Arabidopsis thaliana: one gene and its partners. The protein of the gene in region 3 interacts with the protein of the main gene of each other region in a biochemical or structural test. Each region holds a gene or a part of one and is shown on either strand. Other genes may lie near its edges. The genes, in order: AT3G11630, SERAT2;1 and ROC4.

What was found.
Region 1: the proteins of ROC4 (region 3) and AT3G11630 form a complex in vitro, tested with the Arabidopsis thaliana proteins (one study listed by BioGRID).
Region 2: the proteins of ROC4 (region 3) and SERAT2;1 form a complex in vitro, tested with the Arabidopsis thaliana proteins (one study listed by BioGRID).

The regions. Positions count from the first base shown.
Region 1 is NC_003074.8:3,669,430-3,674,988, forward strand, and holds AT3G11630 (Thioredoxin superfamily protein), read left to right. Parts: upstream 1-2,606; 5' UTR 2,607-2,759; coding exon 2,760-2,966; intron 2,967-3,349; coding exon 3,350-3,424; intron 3,425-3,585; coding exon 3,586-3,667; intron 3,668-3,762; coding exon 3,763-3,842; intron 3,843-3,966; coding exon 3,967-4,092; intron 4,093-4,186; coding exon 4,187-4,300; intron 4,301-4,391; coding exon 4,392-4,508; 3' UTR 4,509-4,730; downstream 4,731-5,559. Other genes in the region: AT3G11620 (alpha/beta-Hydrolases superfamily protein), read right to left, coding at 122-265, 356-460, 631-681, 841-988, 1,080-1,162, 1,260-1,319, 1,449-1,499, 1,606-1,656 and 4 more; AT3G11640 (uncharacterized protein), read left to right, coding at 5,072-5,559. UniProt on the Arabidopsis thaliana protein: Thiol-specific peroxidase that catalyzes the reduction of hydrogen peroxide and organic hydroperoxides to water and alcohols, respectively. Plays a role in cell protection against oxidative stress by detoxifying peroxides.
Region 2 is NC_003070.9:20,909,969-20,914,989, forward strand, and holds SERAT2;1 (serine acetyltransferase 2;1), read left to right. Parts: upstream 1-2,147; 5' UTR 2,148-2,193; coding exon of another isoform or gene 2,194-2,202; 5' UTR 2,203-2,267; coding exon of another isoform or gene 2,268-2,309; 5' UTR 2,310-2,409; coding exon 2,410-3,354; 3' UTR 3,355-3,597; downstream 3,598-5,021. Other genes in the region: AT1G55917 (uncharacterized protein), read right to left, coding at 1,157-1,181, 1,768-1,814, 1,872-1,898, 2,021-2,045, 2,080-2,090, 2,194-2,202, 2,268-2,309. UniProt on the Arabidopsis thaliana protein: Serine acetyltransferase which catalyzes the formation of O-acetyl-L-serine from acetyl-CoA and L-serine. Also displays O-acetylserine (thio1)-lyase activity in vitro. May be involved in detoxification process by mediating the production of glutathione.
Region 3 is NC_003074.8:22,970,710-22,976,657, forward strand, and holds ROC4 (rotamase CYP 4), read left to right. Parts: upstream 1-2,294; coding exon 2,295-2,383; intron 2,384-2,565; coding exon 2,566-2,586; intron 2,587-2,854; exon of another isoform or gene 2,855-2,949; coding exon 2,950-3,052; intron 3,053-3,246; coding exon 3,247-3,435; intron 3,436-3,512; coding exon 3,513-3,666; intron 3,667-3,753; coding exon 3,754-3,842; intron 3,843-3,933; coding exon 3,934-3,988; intron 3,989-4,081; coding exon 4,082-4,167; intron 4,168-4,274; coding exon 4,275-4,430; 3' UTR 4,431-4,618; downstream 4,619-5,948. Other genes in the region: AT3G62010 (metal ion-binding protein), read left to right, coding at 81-203, 308-440; GLP10 (germin-like protein 10), read right to left, coding at 734-1,284, 1,372-1,483; AT3G62040 (Haloacid dehalogenase-like hydrolase (HAD) superfamily protein), read right to left, coding at 4,619-4,840, 4,915-5,112, 5,204-5,329, 5,407-5,499. UniProt on the Arabidopsis thaliana protein: PPIases accelerate the folding of proteins. It catalyzes the cis-trans isomerization of proline imidic peptide bonds in oligopeptides. Required for the light-induced increase of thiol accumulation.

The DNA of each region.
Region 1 (5,559 bases), about 19 Mb from region 3:
AACCAAACATTTTTTACATAAACCATCTCTCTGACAATTACTATTAAACTAATCTGTTTAAAACAAACATTTTGATGGTTGACACTTATTTTGTTGGAAGGAAGAGACAGGGGAATGTACTTTACTGGAGCTGTGAAAACCGGTTCTTGATTAGAGTGGCTACGTGCTGCGCAACCCATGCCGAGCCAGCCACCGTGCAGCAGAATCCGTGCGTGTGACCTTCCCTCTCGATAGATAAGGAAGTATGCGGAGCTTGCTTTGAAATCTGGACAATGGAGAGATTCTATGAGAGACCTTCCTTCTATCGTTAGGATAATGCATTTTGATTAAGCGAGAAGAAGGGAAACCAAGTAACCTCTTCAAAGAGTTGCAGTGGACCCCAATGATCATCAATGCCAAATAAAAATGCAAGCTTGCTCTGGTTTTCTCTCATGAAATCCCAATCTGGCTCTGCTGCAAGCTTATATGCCAAAAATGAAACAGTGGATCGTCACCTAGAATGCTTTAGTTGGAGATCAACTATAGGGCAAGCTTGGTCATGTTGTAGAGCTTTCAAGTAAACACTTTGCATACTTTGAATTCAAAATGAGACTCTAAACTCTATACAACACATTGTTGAAAGAAGAGTACCTCTCTAAACTCTGACTTTGCCATGAAGAGAACATTGCGCATGGTGTGATACTGCAAGCATCAGATGAAGTTAAGTCGTCTGAATAGTTAGTAGGGAATAAGAACTTAAAGTATCAAGAAAAGAAGATGTAATGGCCATCTTCAAGTCTTTATACAACTAGGTTCAAGTGTAAAACCCAAGAAAATCAGTGAATATGAGATAATCAATACCTGCCTCAAGTGAGTGCAGGTAGCTTGAACAGCAGTATCAGACCATGAAGCTCCAATGGATTTAGATACAAGCAGCCGTGCAGCTGACATAGGTAAAAGTCTCAGCGATGCAATCAGAAAACTTGCTGTAGCCGACAGAACAGAAGACCTGCACAACATGATAACGATTTCACAACATTCTAAATAAAGACTGATTGGTTCTTTCCTATCGAGGATTCGTATTGAGAACAAAAGCTCACGCTGCAAGTTTGCCAATTAATGATTGCTTTGTTGATTGTTGGTTCAAAGTCAAAAATGGATATAGGCCAATGCAATATACCACCTGCAAAGCATTCCAGAGAATAATATAAGAAAAATCACATAGCACTGAAAGAAATTGTGATGGAGAAAGTACTACTCTTAGAGGAAGCCATCTATACCTTGTCCGAGAATTTCTTCAATAACTCAAGGGATATATAAGACCCAATAGAATGCCCAACCTACCAAGATCAATTAAGCTTAGAGTTGTAAATTTTCATGAAAATCTGGAAATCCATCCAACTAATGGACATATATATTTTGGTCATAAGAAGCAATATGTCAATGGCTTATACACATGACAGTCTTACCAATATTATTGGAACTTTCACACTCTCCAACTCCTGTCTGATAAAATCAATCTGTATGATAACTAACAGATTAAGATCTTAACTTCACAGGATGAACAATACAAGAACCTAAAGGCTTTCAAATCCAAGAGCAATGAAGAAAAATGATTTTTATTACCTTATGATCAATTTGTTCTTGAAATGAAAATAGCCTCCCAGACTCCCAGTCCTAAAAGTGAAAATAATCAAGTATCATGAAAGCCTATCAAACTAAGATATTATATGAAGAGAACCATCAAAGTTTACACACAGTAAAACCTGAAACCAAAGTTAACGTACCTTGCTCGTGTGAGATATTTGCCCAATAGCTACACAAATAAAACAAACCACTCCACCATTAGAGATCAGAAGAACAAACTCAAACTCAGAAATAAACAGCTTCCATCTTAAGGACTCAAAGAAATCAAACTCGAAAAGTAGAGCAGCCATACCAATTACAGAAGCATTTCCACCAAGAAACTCGTATAAAGATTCCAAAAAGTCCTTGTAAAATGACACAACTCCTGAAAAATTACAAGCCAATGTATGAAGCACACTAGTATATACACGTGCATGCATAAGAGTCTTGAGCATAATAATGAAACCTGGATTTCCCGGAATAAACAATACATGGAATGTGGGATTCTCAGCTTGAATTTCCATCATCTCCGTCATCGAACTTTGATCACAAATACAAAAAACAAAACAAAAAGTGTAACTATAGTCAAAGAAATTAGAAAATTTCGTAAAAGATTAATGTAACAATACCCAGAAACTCTGCACAATCTGGATTTAACATGTCTTTTAGTTTCATTCATCAATTTGTTTTGAGTCTCCATGTCTCCGGTCACGCGATTCAACTTATATCTTCTCTCAGAACTGTCAACACTTGAAAGGAGAAGATCGAGAGAATTAATGAGACAACAGAGAAACCACTAAAAATCAAAACTTTGCAAAATAAGTGAAGAAGCCTTTTAAAGTAAACCAAGTGAAGAGAGCACAACAATGCACCTGAAACAACAGGAGTAGATTAGATACTTTGGAGAACTGAACCACCGATCGGAGGAAGAAAGTAACGGAGAGACGGAGTTACCCAAGGTAGAAGAAGAAGACGCATATTTGCAGCAATAGTAATACGACCTCGTTTTGAGTAACGCGACGTCGTTTTATGAGTTTGGGTGTCGTCAGGCTTATCTCCACCTCATACTTCCACTACAAAGAGAGGTGATTGACAGATAGATAAGAGTGTTTGGTAGCTCAGACTCAGAGAGTCACAAAGTGTGTGTAGCAGCAATGGCGTCTGTTGCTTCTTCAACTACTCTCATCTCTTCTCCCTCTTCTAGGGTTTTTCCAGCAAAGTCTTCACTTTCCTCTCCATCTGTTTCTTTCCTTCGAACCCTTTCTTCTCCTTCCGCATCTGCTTCTCTCCGCTCCGGATTTGCTCGACGCTCTTCCCTCAGCTCCACTTCTCGTCGGAGCTTTGCTGTCAAAGCCCAGGCCGTAAGTTTATCTAAATGTCGATACTTTTCTTATTCGATGTCATTGAAATCTGAATTCATTAGCCTGTTATAGATTTCACTCTCTTCCTACTTGTTAGCCCTATAGGTTTTGGGGAAATAGTTAACGATTTATAGGTTATGCGACCGTGTTTCTGCAGATTACTCGAAAAGTTCAGAAATTTGAGTGACATTTTCGTTTAGGGTTGTTAATTTCTCTGGTGAAGTGAAATTGAGTGACATATGAGCTATACTCATTGACTGATTAGTATGTTCGGATGAGGTCTATGTAGTTTTGGTATAGTACCATGGTTATCTGATTGTCAATTTGACTGATCTTTCTCCTTAGATTTGATGTGTTAACGAGTTTTAATTTGGTGATTATAGGATGATCTTCCACTGGTTGGAAACAAGGCGCCTGATTTTGAGGCAGAGGCTGTGTTTGATCAAGAGTTCATCAAGGTACTTACAGCAGTTATCAATCACAGTTGCTGCTTCTAGTTAATCTGAGATTAAGTTTAGTTTTGAAGCTGAATGAGTAGTCTTTAGTGTTTTTTATTTAGTGAGTATATGTCTTATTGTGATTGGAAACTAATTGGTAACTGATGAATGTATGGTTTCAGGTTAAGCTCTCTGATTACATTGGAAAGAAGTATGTGATTCTCTTTTTCTACCCATTGGACTTTACTTTCGTCTGCCCAACAGGTTAGCATTGCTCGAGAAGTATATCAAAATTGAATATCCAAGGTTCCCTCATCCTTGAGTCCTAATCTTTCTCATTTTTTCCTTATGTCTTTTAGAGATTACTGCCTTCAGTGACCGGCATTCAGAATTTGAGAAGTTGAACACCGAAGTATTAGGTGTTTCTGTCGATAGTGTGGTAAGTATCACTATACATTTACTATGTTCTCATTTTACTCAGTTCCTCATCCTTGGTTGACATCACCATGTTCTTATCTGTTTGCAAATTTTTGATTCATTCTTATTTCTGTGTGTCCTCGTAGTTCTCTCACCTTGCATGGGTCCAAACAGACAGGAAATCTGGAGGGCTTGGTGATCTGAACTATCCCCTTATTTCAGATGTCACTAAATCAATCTCAAAGTCGTTCGGAGTGCTCATCCATGATCAGGTAATTGTTAGCCTTTAAATCTTGGCTACCTTCCTTTAAACTTTCGAAGTGTTTGGGATAAATGAAAACAAGAACTTTGTTTGTGTAAGAACAGGGAATAGCACTGAGAGGACTTTTCATAATCGACAAGGAAGGAGTGATCCAACATTCCACCATCAACAATCTTGGTATTGGCCGAAGCGTTGATGAGACAATGAGAACCCTCCAGGTAAAGATACAAATAAATACACACAACTCCAAAAACCGCTCTTTCCTTTCACTCGATTTCCGGTATGCTTAATACGTTTTCAATGTTGCAGGCATTACAGTACATCCAGGAAAACCCGGATGAAGTCTGCCCAGCAGGATGGAAGCCGGGTGAGAAGTCAATGAAACCCGACCCAAAACTCAGCAAAGAGTACTTCTCAGCTATTTAGAAACTCTACTATGATAGCAAAAAGGTACAATCTTTGTTATATGTGAGCAGAGTTTTTTTTCTTGTACGCTAAAACAATCCTTTGTTTGATTCTCACTTTGTCCCCAAAATTATAATAAAAAACTTTTTCCGTTAATGGAAGTCTTATTGTGTTACGCCTACAAATTCATATTCAGTTGATCACTTACCTAAGCATGTACACTGTACATATTAATGGTAAAAATCAAGACCATTTTGTGATCTTCTTTGATAGCACAGAGAAGCCATTGTTCTACCATATACGCTAGTCATATTAAAGGACCTGTAAAAAAACCAAAGGACAGAAATTATAAAACTATCATTTCTCTTTCTTTAATGCATCTATATGATAATTATGATCCTTAAAAAGCTGATGCTACCTGTAAAAAAGTTGCTCATGTGTCCCCCTGCCAACAAATTCCAACATCATTAATCATCATCAACCCAACCTCCTCCGTCAACTGATGACCGGTAAACGCCGGTCAACTCTCCTGCTTTAACTACACTACGTCCCGGTCATTATTTTTTCACACTCTCTCTCAAACGATGCATGCCCTCACCAACTCCGGCGCCGTACTTCTCGCCGTGTTACTCTTCTTTCTGCTCATCCTTTTCGCCGAGCTCTCTTACATCTTTTGTTGCCGCACCGGATCTTTACCGTCTCCGGCAAGTAAAGAGGTTCTTTTCCAATTCTTGATGTGTTGCAAGAAGAATCACCACCACTCTCGTATTGAGCCATGCACCGGTATTGTTTCTGTACAGATGGAGGAGGATGTTGTTGCTGCGGCGGTGCCTGAGGAGGAATTCGCGGCGGCGGACAAGTGGCGGGTGTCGAGGCTTCTCTTCACAATTGAAGAAGAGGATTTGGAACTGGAAGATGATGATGATGATGTGATCTCTGCGGAGGTAGATAATGGCTTCGAAGTCCAAGTTGATATTCCGGTGGAGTATTCCGGCGATCCAACTCCGTTCTTGACGCCGTGCAACTCACCTCCTTACTTTACTCCTTCGCCATCTCCTGGTCGGGATATGGA
Region 2 (5,021 bases), on a different chromosome or scaffold from region 3:
TTGTTTGATTTCTAGAATGCTATACTTTTTTCTAATCCTGCTTTGCAGAATCTTTAGCTAACCTGATAGAATTGTGCTTTTCTATCCTTGGTATTAGATCAAGCGGTCTAAACTTCCCAGTTAGACTTTGAGGTTTTTGTCTGCTCTTGTGAACAATCATTTACATACATTGTGTGTGTGTGTGTCTGCGCGTGTGAATTCAGGTACCTAGCTCTTTCTTAAATCAATTCAGACATGATTCGTGGCTGTTAAAACAAGCTACAATAACACAAATGAAGAATTGTTCAAATATCATGTGCGTTAATGTCCACGCTCCTGAAATAGATTACGTATGTTTCACTAGGACTTGTTAGAATTGTGAAACTTATAAAACTGTTCTTTTTGTTAGGCAATGGTGAGGCTATTTTACTTTCAGGTTTAAAAAACCTGTTGAAGCATTAGAGTGTTGATGAATATGAGTTTCCCTAAAGTAGATAGTATCTTCAGTCTGAAGTATATATGCATGTGTTGTTTCTGATCATAGTGTGCATCAAATGGGATGGTTCTGAAGATCTTTTGACAAACTCTTTGTCTATCAATTGATGTTTAAGGTTCAACAGCGATTCAGTTTCATAAAAGGTGATGTTTTTGCTTTTGCTTTTGTTAGCAGATGGTACCAAATCAAAAAGCTTAGGATCATATCGAGTGCCCCTTATCTGATAGAGGACTCAAGGAAGCAGATACTTAACCTCATTAAGCATCATGCTCAATCTTAGCTCCTTATTGTGCTACTAAAGTTCCAGTCTATTGGTATCCTCTTCCAATCTTATTATTTGTGTTGTTTTTTTGTGTGTCCTGACGTTTCACAGTGTCCATTCTTCATCATGTCATTCTCCATTCTTCAACACATCACAATTATATTTTAGCTAAATAGATAAAATTTATTCATATGATTTATTCTAAGAGATATTCGACATTTTTCAATATAAATTTTAGAAACCAAAAAATTGTGTAACTCGAAAGGGAAAGTTCATATATTCTTTGTGAACCAAATCGAATTCTCTAACTGAATAGTATTTTGTGTTTTCATGATTTTGAAGAGCCAAATCTACTTGACTACTGGTTGAAAATTGAAAGAAACCCTAATAAGGGACAATGATAACGAAAGATTGGGTCCTCAAACAATGGACACCACTATTCTACTGCCATTTAAAAAAAAAAGTTTAATATTTTTGAATTTTATTGTTGTTGTTTTCTCATTTCAAAACATCCAAAATTCCAACTAAGATAAGATAACTTATTTGCAGTAAGAAAAACGGATAATTTTATTTATTTGAATCCATCCATCAACATAAAGGTGTGCACAAAGGACAATATTAGGCAAATGACAATGTCACGTAATCTACGTTGCCCAATTGAATAATTTGATTATCATAAAAGTTACACAAGTTTCATTATTGAGTATTGAGTACTGAATAGAGATATCTTCAACCATAATGTAGCTTTCACAATTTCCATACGCGAAAAAAAGATATACACAAATGGAGTGTGTAGAGTAAACTAAACTCACTCTATTATGACTAACAGTCAATAACACGTACGTAGTTATCAAATTATTAATGAGTAAAAAAGTTCCAAGTTAAATTATGTATAAATTAATCATGTATTAGCATTAGATTATTAAAGTGTGAAAAAATGATTAGATTCAGACAACCTTGAAAATAAGGAGTTAAAGTCAAAGGGCGACTGCTTCACGTAACTTTAGACTTACGTCATTACTAACGTCACCTTTCTTTGAAAACCTCCTCCTTTTGAAAACCTCCTCCTTTTGGCAACTTTAATAATAGATCCAATTTTCTTGGTTTTTCCCCCCATTATTTGGAAATTATAACCATTTTACTACAAGTGCCTTCTAAATTCTACAACCCAACAAAAAAAAAAAAATTATATTACATATCATACAAAATAGCTAGATAATAAGTAGTTGATGTTATTGTTATGAAAAAGTTGGTGGCACTAAAAACATGTGATGGCTAATGACCCTTAGATATGTGTAGATAAGCAGACTAATCATGCAAAAATAAATACAAAATTGTAAACATCGTAATTGTCTGGACAATAAATCATAAAATTAAAAACATAAAACCATTTCCAAAATAAAATTGTGTATGGAAAAAAATATATATTAATCTCACTTACTATATAATTCATTACCTCCTTAATCTGCAGAAAAATGTGTATAATTAAAGAATAAAATATTTAGAGAGCGCTAATTAAACTGTAATTACTTTTTGAGATTTTTTTGGGTCAGAGTCAAAGGTCGCCGCCATCTCTCTCTGTGTATATAAGCTATGTTCATCTTCTTCACTCAACAACCATTCTCTCTTCTCTTCTTTATCTCAAACTCTTTCTTCTTCCAAATCATAAACCATGGCAACATGCATAGACACATGCCGAACCGGTAATACCCAAGACGATGATTCCCGGTTCTGTTGCATCAAGAATTTCTTTCGACCCGGTTTCTCTGTAAACCGGAAGATTCACCACACCCAAATCGAAGATGACGATGATGTCTGGATCAAGATGCTTGAAGAAGCCAAATCCGATGTTAAACAAGAACCCATTTTATCAAACTACTACTACGCTTCGATCACATCTCATCGATCTTTAGAGTCTGCTTTAGCTCACATCCTCTCCGTAAAGCTCAGCAATTTAAACCTACCAAGCAACACACTCTTCGAACTGTTCATAAGCGTTTTAGAAGAAAGCCCTGAGATCATCGAATCCACGAAGCAAGATCTTATAGCAGTCAAAGAAAGAGACCCAGCTTGTATAAGCTACGTTCATTGCTTCTTGGGCTTCAAAGGCTTCCTCGCTTGTCAAGCTCATCGAATAGCTCATACCCTCTGGAAACAGAACAGAAAAATCGTAGCTTTATTGATCCAAAACAGAGTATCAGAATCTTTCGCCGTCGATATTCATCCCGGAGCGAAGATCGGAAAAGGGATTCTTTTAGACCATGCGACGGGCGTGGTGATCGGAGAGACGGCGGTGGTTGGAGACAATGTTTCGATTCTACACGGAGTGACCTTGGGAGGAACAGGGAAACAGAGTGGTGATCGGCATCCGAAGATTGGTGATGGTGTGTTGATTGGAGCTGGGAGTTGTATATTGGGGAATATAACAATCGGTGAGGGAGCTAAGATTGGATCAGGGTCGGTGGTGGTTAAGGATGTGCCGGCGCGTACGACGGCGGTTGGAAATCCGGCGAGGTTGATTGGTGGGAAAGAGAATCCGAGAAAACATGATAAGATTCCTTGTCTGACTATGGACCAGACATCGTATTTAACCGAGTGGTCTGATTATGTGATTTAACACAAATGTGTATTTCTTTCTTTCTTGTAACTGATGATGATGAAACAAGTCTTGTCTATTTCTTAATATTTTACTATGTACTAATCAAACAAGTCTTGAAATCAAGCTCATCGATCTTTAAGAAGAAACTAGAGATTAGTTTATCTCGAGGCGAATCAAGAATGTGTACACTTTTATGGATTAATATATTTGTTAATAACATGGATTGTGAATTGGGCCTTAAAGTGGACTGTTAAATGGGCCATGTATAACCAACTCACGCCAACAATAGTTTTCTAATGGTTACTTTCGTCGCCGGAGTCGTGGAAGGTGGAGAAATGGGAAAATCTCACAGAAGAAGTAATTATGAGTCATCGTAAACTAGAAAGAAGACTAAAGGACGAGGCAGAACAAAGCATCATTACTATAGTATTGATGACGTTCTGGTTTCGTAATTAAAGTGTTTTCATTTCCCAATGCAAATGACTTTTGATATTTCTTCTCTAATAAAGAAAGTCGCTTATAAAACTCAAACATAGAGAGAAGTTTTCATTTGTTCTAAACTTATTCAAAACCCTAGTTTTTTCTTACAATCAACCATCGCTAAATCAGAAGAAACATTAGTTTCACAGGAAAAAAAAAAACTAAAAAAAAGAAACAGAGATTATAAAGAGTCCATTGGAATATAGAGAACCGAAAATCGACCGAGATCACAAAGCCAAGATATGGCAAAAAGATATGATTCTAGAAGAATTTGGAAGAATATTAATAAATGTTAATATTAGAGTTTAGGAAGTTTAATATTATCTCTAAAAATATTATTTACATATATGTTTATTTTAGTTTAGGAAACTTAGATCTCTTCCTTCTCTATATAAAGATCATCTCCAATGTATAGCTCTATATCCACCTCTAAAATAGAGTTACTCTATTTTTGAGGTGGGTTTCTCTCCAATGTATAGCTCTATTTTCTACTCTAAAAAAGAATATTCTTAAAAATATTCTATTTCTAATTTATATACTAATTCCTTTTAATTATATAATTTACAATTTGACCTCATATATTATAGATTTGCAAAAATTTCCAGAAAATATGACATTATTTAAATTAAACACTACTTATTTATTAAAAAACATTACATCATATAACAATAATAAAACATTACAAATTTTTATTTTGTGATTTGGATTCCTTTCAAAACTCACATGTTCGGGCATATTTTGAGAGTGAACAAGTACGGCTTTTACAAAAACGATGTGTCCAACGACAAGATCAAGAAACTCTTCCTCCATCTACTTCATTTGGATAATATTTCGACTATCTTGGCGGATCCACAAGCAATTTACCGGACTATTAAATCACTAGTTAATTTGATGTTTTAGTTTTTTTATGTTGTTTATTTTAAATTAGGTACTTGTTTCTTGTTAAGTTTATAAAATTATTTTAAATTTAATACTTAATTGTTTGTTAAGTTTATAAAATTATGTGTTGTAGTTGTTGTTTGTAAAATAATTATATGTATTAAATAAAAAGTTTAAATTTGAGGGACTAAAGTATAAATAAAAAAATTGAACTCAAAAATAGAGTAGAGAATAGAGTTGCTCTATATATAGAGTCAATCTGCATAAATCTCTATTTTTGAGTCAATTATAGAGTGGGGTTGGAGAAGGCTTTTGTATTTTTACTC
Region 3 (5,948 bases):
AATCAATCTCTTTTGAGAATTTTATCACTTTAAACTACACATCGCTCATGATTTCATCTTCTTGTTTTGGCATTTTATAGGTGTGCTGGTGCAGGACATTTGCGAGAAGACATCGTTTACTACAGTAAAGAGCTGAACAAACTTCCTATTACAAAAGATGAAAACCGTTCATACATCATGGACATGGGTGTTAAAGCCTTAAGGTTAGTTACTTACAACTTCAATCCGGTTAAAACGATCCAACCAAACCATGAGTTTCGTTTCTTCCCATATCCAAACAAATAATATGATTGTTTTGTATGAGCAGGCGCTACTTTTACCTGATAACATTCAGATCATACCTCTATAGCACGTCGCCGGAAGAAATGAAATTCTTGGATTGGATGAAGTCACGGCCGGAACTTGGACATCTCTGTCATAACCTCAGGATAGATAAATAAAAGTGTGATTTTGGGTTTCAGTGTCCATACATATATGTATAAATCTAGGCAAAGTTATGTTGTTTGGTTTATACAGAGCTTTTAGTGTATAAAAAATTGTACAGCCTTCTCTTCTCCTTCGTCTGCTTTGTAGAGAGATCTCTGTTTATAGGTTTGTACCTTTATATGCATTGCTTAAAACCCTCCAGCTGATTCAGCAGGTTATTCTAATGAACAAGGTTTATTTTTTCCTTTATTAAAATTTAAAAACCAATTAATAAAATTTAAAATATATATATATAACGACGCGATTTTTAGACTTTCTTGGGAGCAAACTTAGATTTGATTTTTTCGATTTCTTTCGTTCCGATTTGAAACGTCGTCGTTAAAACGTGATCCGGAATCGCCGGAGTGGCTGTGAATAGCGTGGCGGCGATCGATTGTGTTCCCGGTAATTGACTGTTGAACGCAGAGATCACCGACGCCGGTTTCGCTTTGTCGTTGTTTTTCTGGTAATGAATCAATCCTCTAGGGAAGACGAACACTTCTCCTTTCTTCACCGTCTTAGCGAAGAGCTTGTTCGCCGTCGTTATGAATCCAACGTCAAGCTCGCCTTCCAAAACGAAGATCACTTCGGTGGCGCGTGGATGCGTGTGCGGCGGGTTTAAACCTCCGGGAGCGTAGTCGATACGCGCGAGTGAGACTCCGAGCGTGTTAAGCCCTGCGATCTTCTCTACGTTTGCTCCCGTGACGGCTGACCCGACTGTGTTGTTAACGACGGCGGGTTTTCCGATTCCGGCGAAGAAAAAATCTGAAGCGGTGATGTTTGATTCGGGTTTACATGTGAAACCATTCACTTTTATCCCTACATAATCCAAAAACGACGACATTTCATTACTTTAACAAATCATTCAAAGTAGACAGTAAATTTAATTTGAAGATATATGTGTACCTGAAGTGCGATCCGCAACGCAGAGATCTTGAAGTGTGTCAGGATCGTAAGCAAGAACAATCACATTTAGAGATAACAAAGTAAAGAAGAAGCCAAAACATCTCGAGTCCATGGTTTTGACTTTTGATGATGTACTGTAGAAGAACAAGTAACTAGATTTGAAGCTCTAATTTGAAACTGTGTGATATGTTTTTGTTTCGATTTGGATCGTTATAAATATTTGAATCTGTTTGAGGAGAAATTATGCATAGCTTAACTAACTTAAACGCAAAGCAAAGCTTGGGAGTTGGAGGAAAGATGTGATGTCGTTTTCTTACACATGTACATATTTAATCTAACTTTTAAGTTTTGGTTTTCGTTAGCTAGAATTCTTGGTTTAACCGAAATATATTCCAGATCAGAGATCTATAGATCAATAATAAAAAGTTTCAGTTTCAAATTCTTGGTAAGGAGTTGGAAAGTTAATTAAAAACTTGAGTGACAAGCATTTTCTTATCATGATGGGCTGGGCCTGGTAGATAAACAAATAGGCCCACTTGTGGTAATCATCGATAGGGTAAATTAAATCGAGGTGTTAGGTTAAAGCAGATCCGTGCCTTGTTTGGGCCATGGTGCGGCCCAAGTGATGTTTTTCCTGGATTGACAAAGAAAGTTACTCAATTACCCTACAGTTACATGGTTGTGAATGTGCCTTGGCAAGGGGTAGAGTCGAAATTAGCACACGACAACCAGTGAAAGCAAACCAGTAAATTTCACTCATCCACAACCACAGATAAATCTAACTAAAACCCTCTCAGCTACCAAACAATCTCTTAGCGGATGAGAAATATCAAAGTACTCTTGGCACTCAAGGAACCCACCCCCATCAGCAATACAATTTCCTTATGTAAGCTTTGAATGGCTTTGGCGAAAACTCTTAGCTGATGTTCCGTTTACTTCTTCTCCCTTACGCAGTCGGTGCTCAACAGAAGCTGTTACAAACTCCAAGAGAGACGAAAGTTGCTGATGCATGGTACAGCAAATTATGTGTGTTTAAATAATGTCCAAAGACTGTAGTAGCTTTGTGTATGAAAACATGAACAATTTTGTTGGTTCTTGGAGTTTGTGGTTTTGATCTATTGAGTGTGAAATAATAGACAAAACTAATCTTGCTGGTCTTATGATGTTGTTCATAAAAACATGATTTTGTTCTAGGAATATTAAATGCCAAAATCTGTAAGCAGTTAAATTTTCAGAGAATGATATCAAAATTTTGGAAAATTAAAAATTGTGTGCTTTAGAAAGAAAAAAAAAGGCTTTCTACAGCAAATAATAAAAAAAGGCTTTCTACGGCAATTGTACTTGATAGTCATCCGCAACCACAGGTTTAACCCTAACCCAATTTTTTGTTGTAACTTAAGAGAGAAAGCATTTGGATAAATGACTTGGGCTGGGCCTAAAAGAAATTAAAAATAGGCCTCTAGCTGTCATTATCATTAGGCGTAAGTTAGCATGAGATGCTAAGGATACCACCAATCCATAGAGTTGCTAACTTAAAAAACAAGGCTCGAGGCGGTTCTCTTATCTGCAAAACTAAAGACTGTTGTCTAAAGCGAACCAACAAAAAGTCTTCATCTTTAATCATTCAATGGCTTCTTCGTCTTCTATGCAGATGGTTCACACTTCCCGCTCCATTGCCCAGGTTCTAAACTTAATCCTACATTTGCGGTTTTTTCAATTTTCGTCGAAGATTTATGCTTTGAATTCTATCCTTTTTTCTTCTTCACTTTAAGTAGTGTGTCTCTGTGAGTTAAAACGAAATTTCAATCGGATACTATTCCTGTTCTTGTGGGTTTTTTTTGGTCTTAAATCTCTTTTGTTTGGTTTTCTGTGTAGATTGGGTTCGGTGTTAAGTCGCAATTAGTTTCTGCAAATCGAACAACTCAATCAGTTTGCTTTGGAGCTCGTTCCTCTGGAATTGCATTATCTTCGAGATTGCACTATGCATCACCCATTAAGCAATTTTCTGGGGTTTATGCGACCACCAAGCATCAGAGAACCGCTTGTGTTAAATCCATGGCTGCTGTAAGTTACTTTTTTCATAAATCATTCATGTTCTGTTGCCTTATGGATTCGTGTTGATTTTTGAACTTGGTTTGTAGGAGGAAGAAGAAGTAATCGAACCTCAAGCTAAAGTGACAAACAAGGTTTACTTTGATGTGGAAATTGGAGGTGAAGTTGCTGGCAGAATTGTGATGGGTCTCTTTGGAGAAGTTGTGCCTAAAACCGTTGAAAACTTCCGTGCCTTGTGTACTGGTAAGCTCCTTATCAAAATGATGTTTAAAGTTTGGAACTTTATAGACACAATCAAAACCATTGTCTAAAGGAAATTGATTTCTTCAGGTGAGAAGAAATACGGGTACAAGGGTTCCTCTTTCCATCGTATTATTAAGGATTTCATGATCCAAGGAGGTGATTTCACCGAGGGAAATGTAAGTTCTTTCCAACAAGTTACATTTCAGACTGTTTGTTTGTTATTTTGATATTTCTTTCTAAATCGTCTTTTTCGATATGGTCTCACAGGGTACTGGAGGTATTAGTATTTACGGTGCCAAGTTCGAAGATGAAAACTTCACCCGTAAGTACTCACAAACAAAGAAAAACTCTGGTTTTCTGCAAATATGGCATTACTTCTTTGAGGTATTAATGGTTTTGTTTTCCGCATTTGCAGTGAAGCATACTGGACCTGGAATCTTGAGCATGGCAAACGCTGGTCCTAATACTAATGGAAGCCAGTTTTTCATTTGTACCGTCAAGGTAAAGATTCTCAATTCTTCACATCATCTATAGAGTTATCGATCTTTCATATGTTTGCCTTCCCATTTTGATTAATATTTATTTCACAAATTTGTTTTTTTGTGCAGACTTCATGGTTAGATAACAAGCATGTCGTGTTTGGACAAGTAATTGAAGGTATGAAGCTTGTTAGGACTCTTGAGTCTCAAGAGACTCGCGCTTTCGATGTTCCCAAGAAAGGTTGTAGAATCTATGCCTGCGGAGAGCTCCCGTTAGATGCTTGATAATCACTATTGACCGATGCATTGTCTTTGCCATCTTTGTTCTGTTTTTTGCTATTATGACTATTGAGGAATCCAAACCATCAAAAAGCCAAAGATTTTCAAATTCTGGTCTTTTATTTATTATATATTTCGGATACATGAGTTATAAGTTCTTTTAATCGATGTGGGATTCTTATTAGAATGTCTCTCTAAGCATTGACCATGGTTGCAACCGCGGCTTGCTGAACAATTGGCTCGAGCTTCTCATCTTTGTTGTCTTCCCATAAATCAGGTATTGCTTCCTTTATGTTATGAATGCTGCTTAGTGCATAGTCAGCACCTGGAACTAGCACTGATTCCCCCACAAACACGGTTTTTAGCCCTGTTGCTTTAGCACTAGCGATGTTACGAATACTGTCATCGAAGAATATCTGAAAAGAAAAAGATATAGACTTTTAAGTTTGGTATCTGAAACTGTGAAAGATCATAGTGACTTTTCTATTACCGTTTTGCGTGGATCAACAATGTCTGCAATGCGAATTGCAGCTTCAAATGCTTCAACAGAGGGTTTACAGAGGATTTGAGTGTTTGAATCAGAAGAAGGGTTTAGTGTTTCGAAGCAAATGATTCCTTCAAAGCAGTCCTCAAGACCCAATCTGTTGAGAGCTCGTGTTGCGTGAGCTTTGTCTGCGTTAGTAAAGATCTGTTCGAAGGGAAAATGAAAAAACAGAGGATGAGAAAAAAAGATTCAGTGGAGAATTCGAGTACAAAGCTTGAAGAAGGAAGAAACTTACGATTTTACGGTGAGGCATAGAGAGGAGAAGGTTACGGAGGAGTGGATCAGGTTTTAGTTTCTCGTAGGGAAGTCTTCCATGGACATATTCATGGAATTCATCGTTGTCGAATTCGTAACCCATAACCTATAAGTACGCCTCTGTTTTGGTTATTTCAGTTTCCTCAGTGAATGTTTAAGATCAAGAATTTTGAAATAAGTTACCTTGAGACCAGCCATGGTGGTTCCATATTCTTTGTAAAGATCCAAACACAACTTTGGAACTTCACTCTCTTCGATTCCGAGTTGGTTAAGCATGAACTCTGCAAATAACGAAAACAAAGGGATACAAAATTCAGTTATATGGCCGTTAATGATTAAGTAAAGACAAGCATCTTGAAATGTTAAGTCTCTTTTCCTTGGATGTTGTTTCGACAAGCTAAGTTGATTCCGATGCTCAAAGGGTATAAAGTATCGTCCATATCTGCAACAACAGATAAGAGTTTTAATTCCTTTACAAAAAAAAAATTGCACAAGGGAAATAAGATTGAAGATGATTGGTTTATAGTTTATATGTGTATTATTTACCAAAGAACAAACACTCGTAGTTAGCTCCAAATCCATCCATTTTACGAATCCAACGAAGAAGAAGCTGCTAACGAGAATTAATGAATTATAGACGGGAAGATTAATAATGAAAAGAGAGAGAGAGCTTATGAACAATGTGAAGGAGTTGGTTGTATTTATATACACAATTCAAAAAAGGT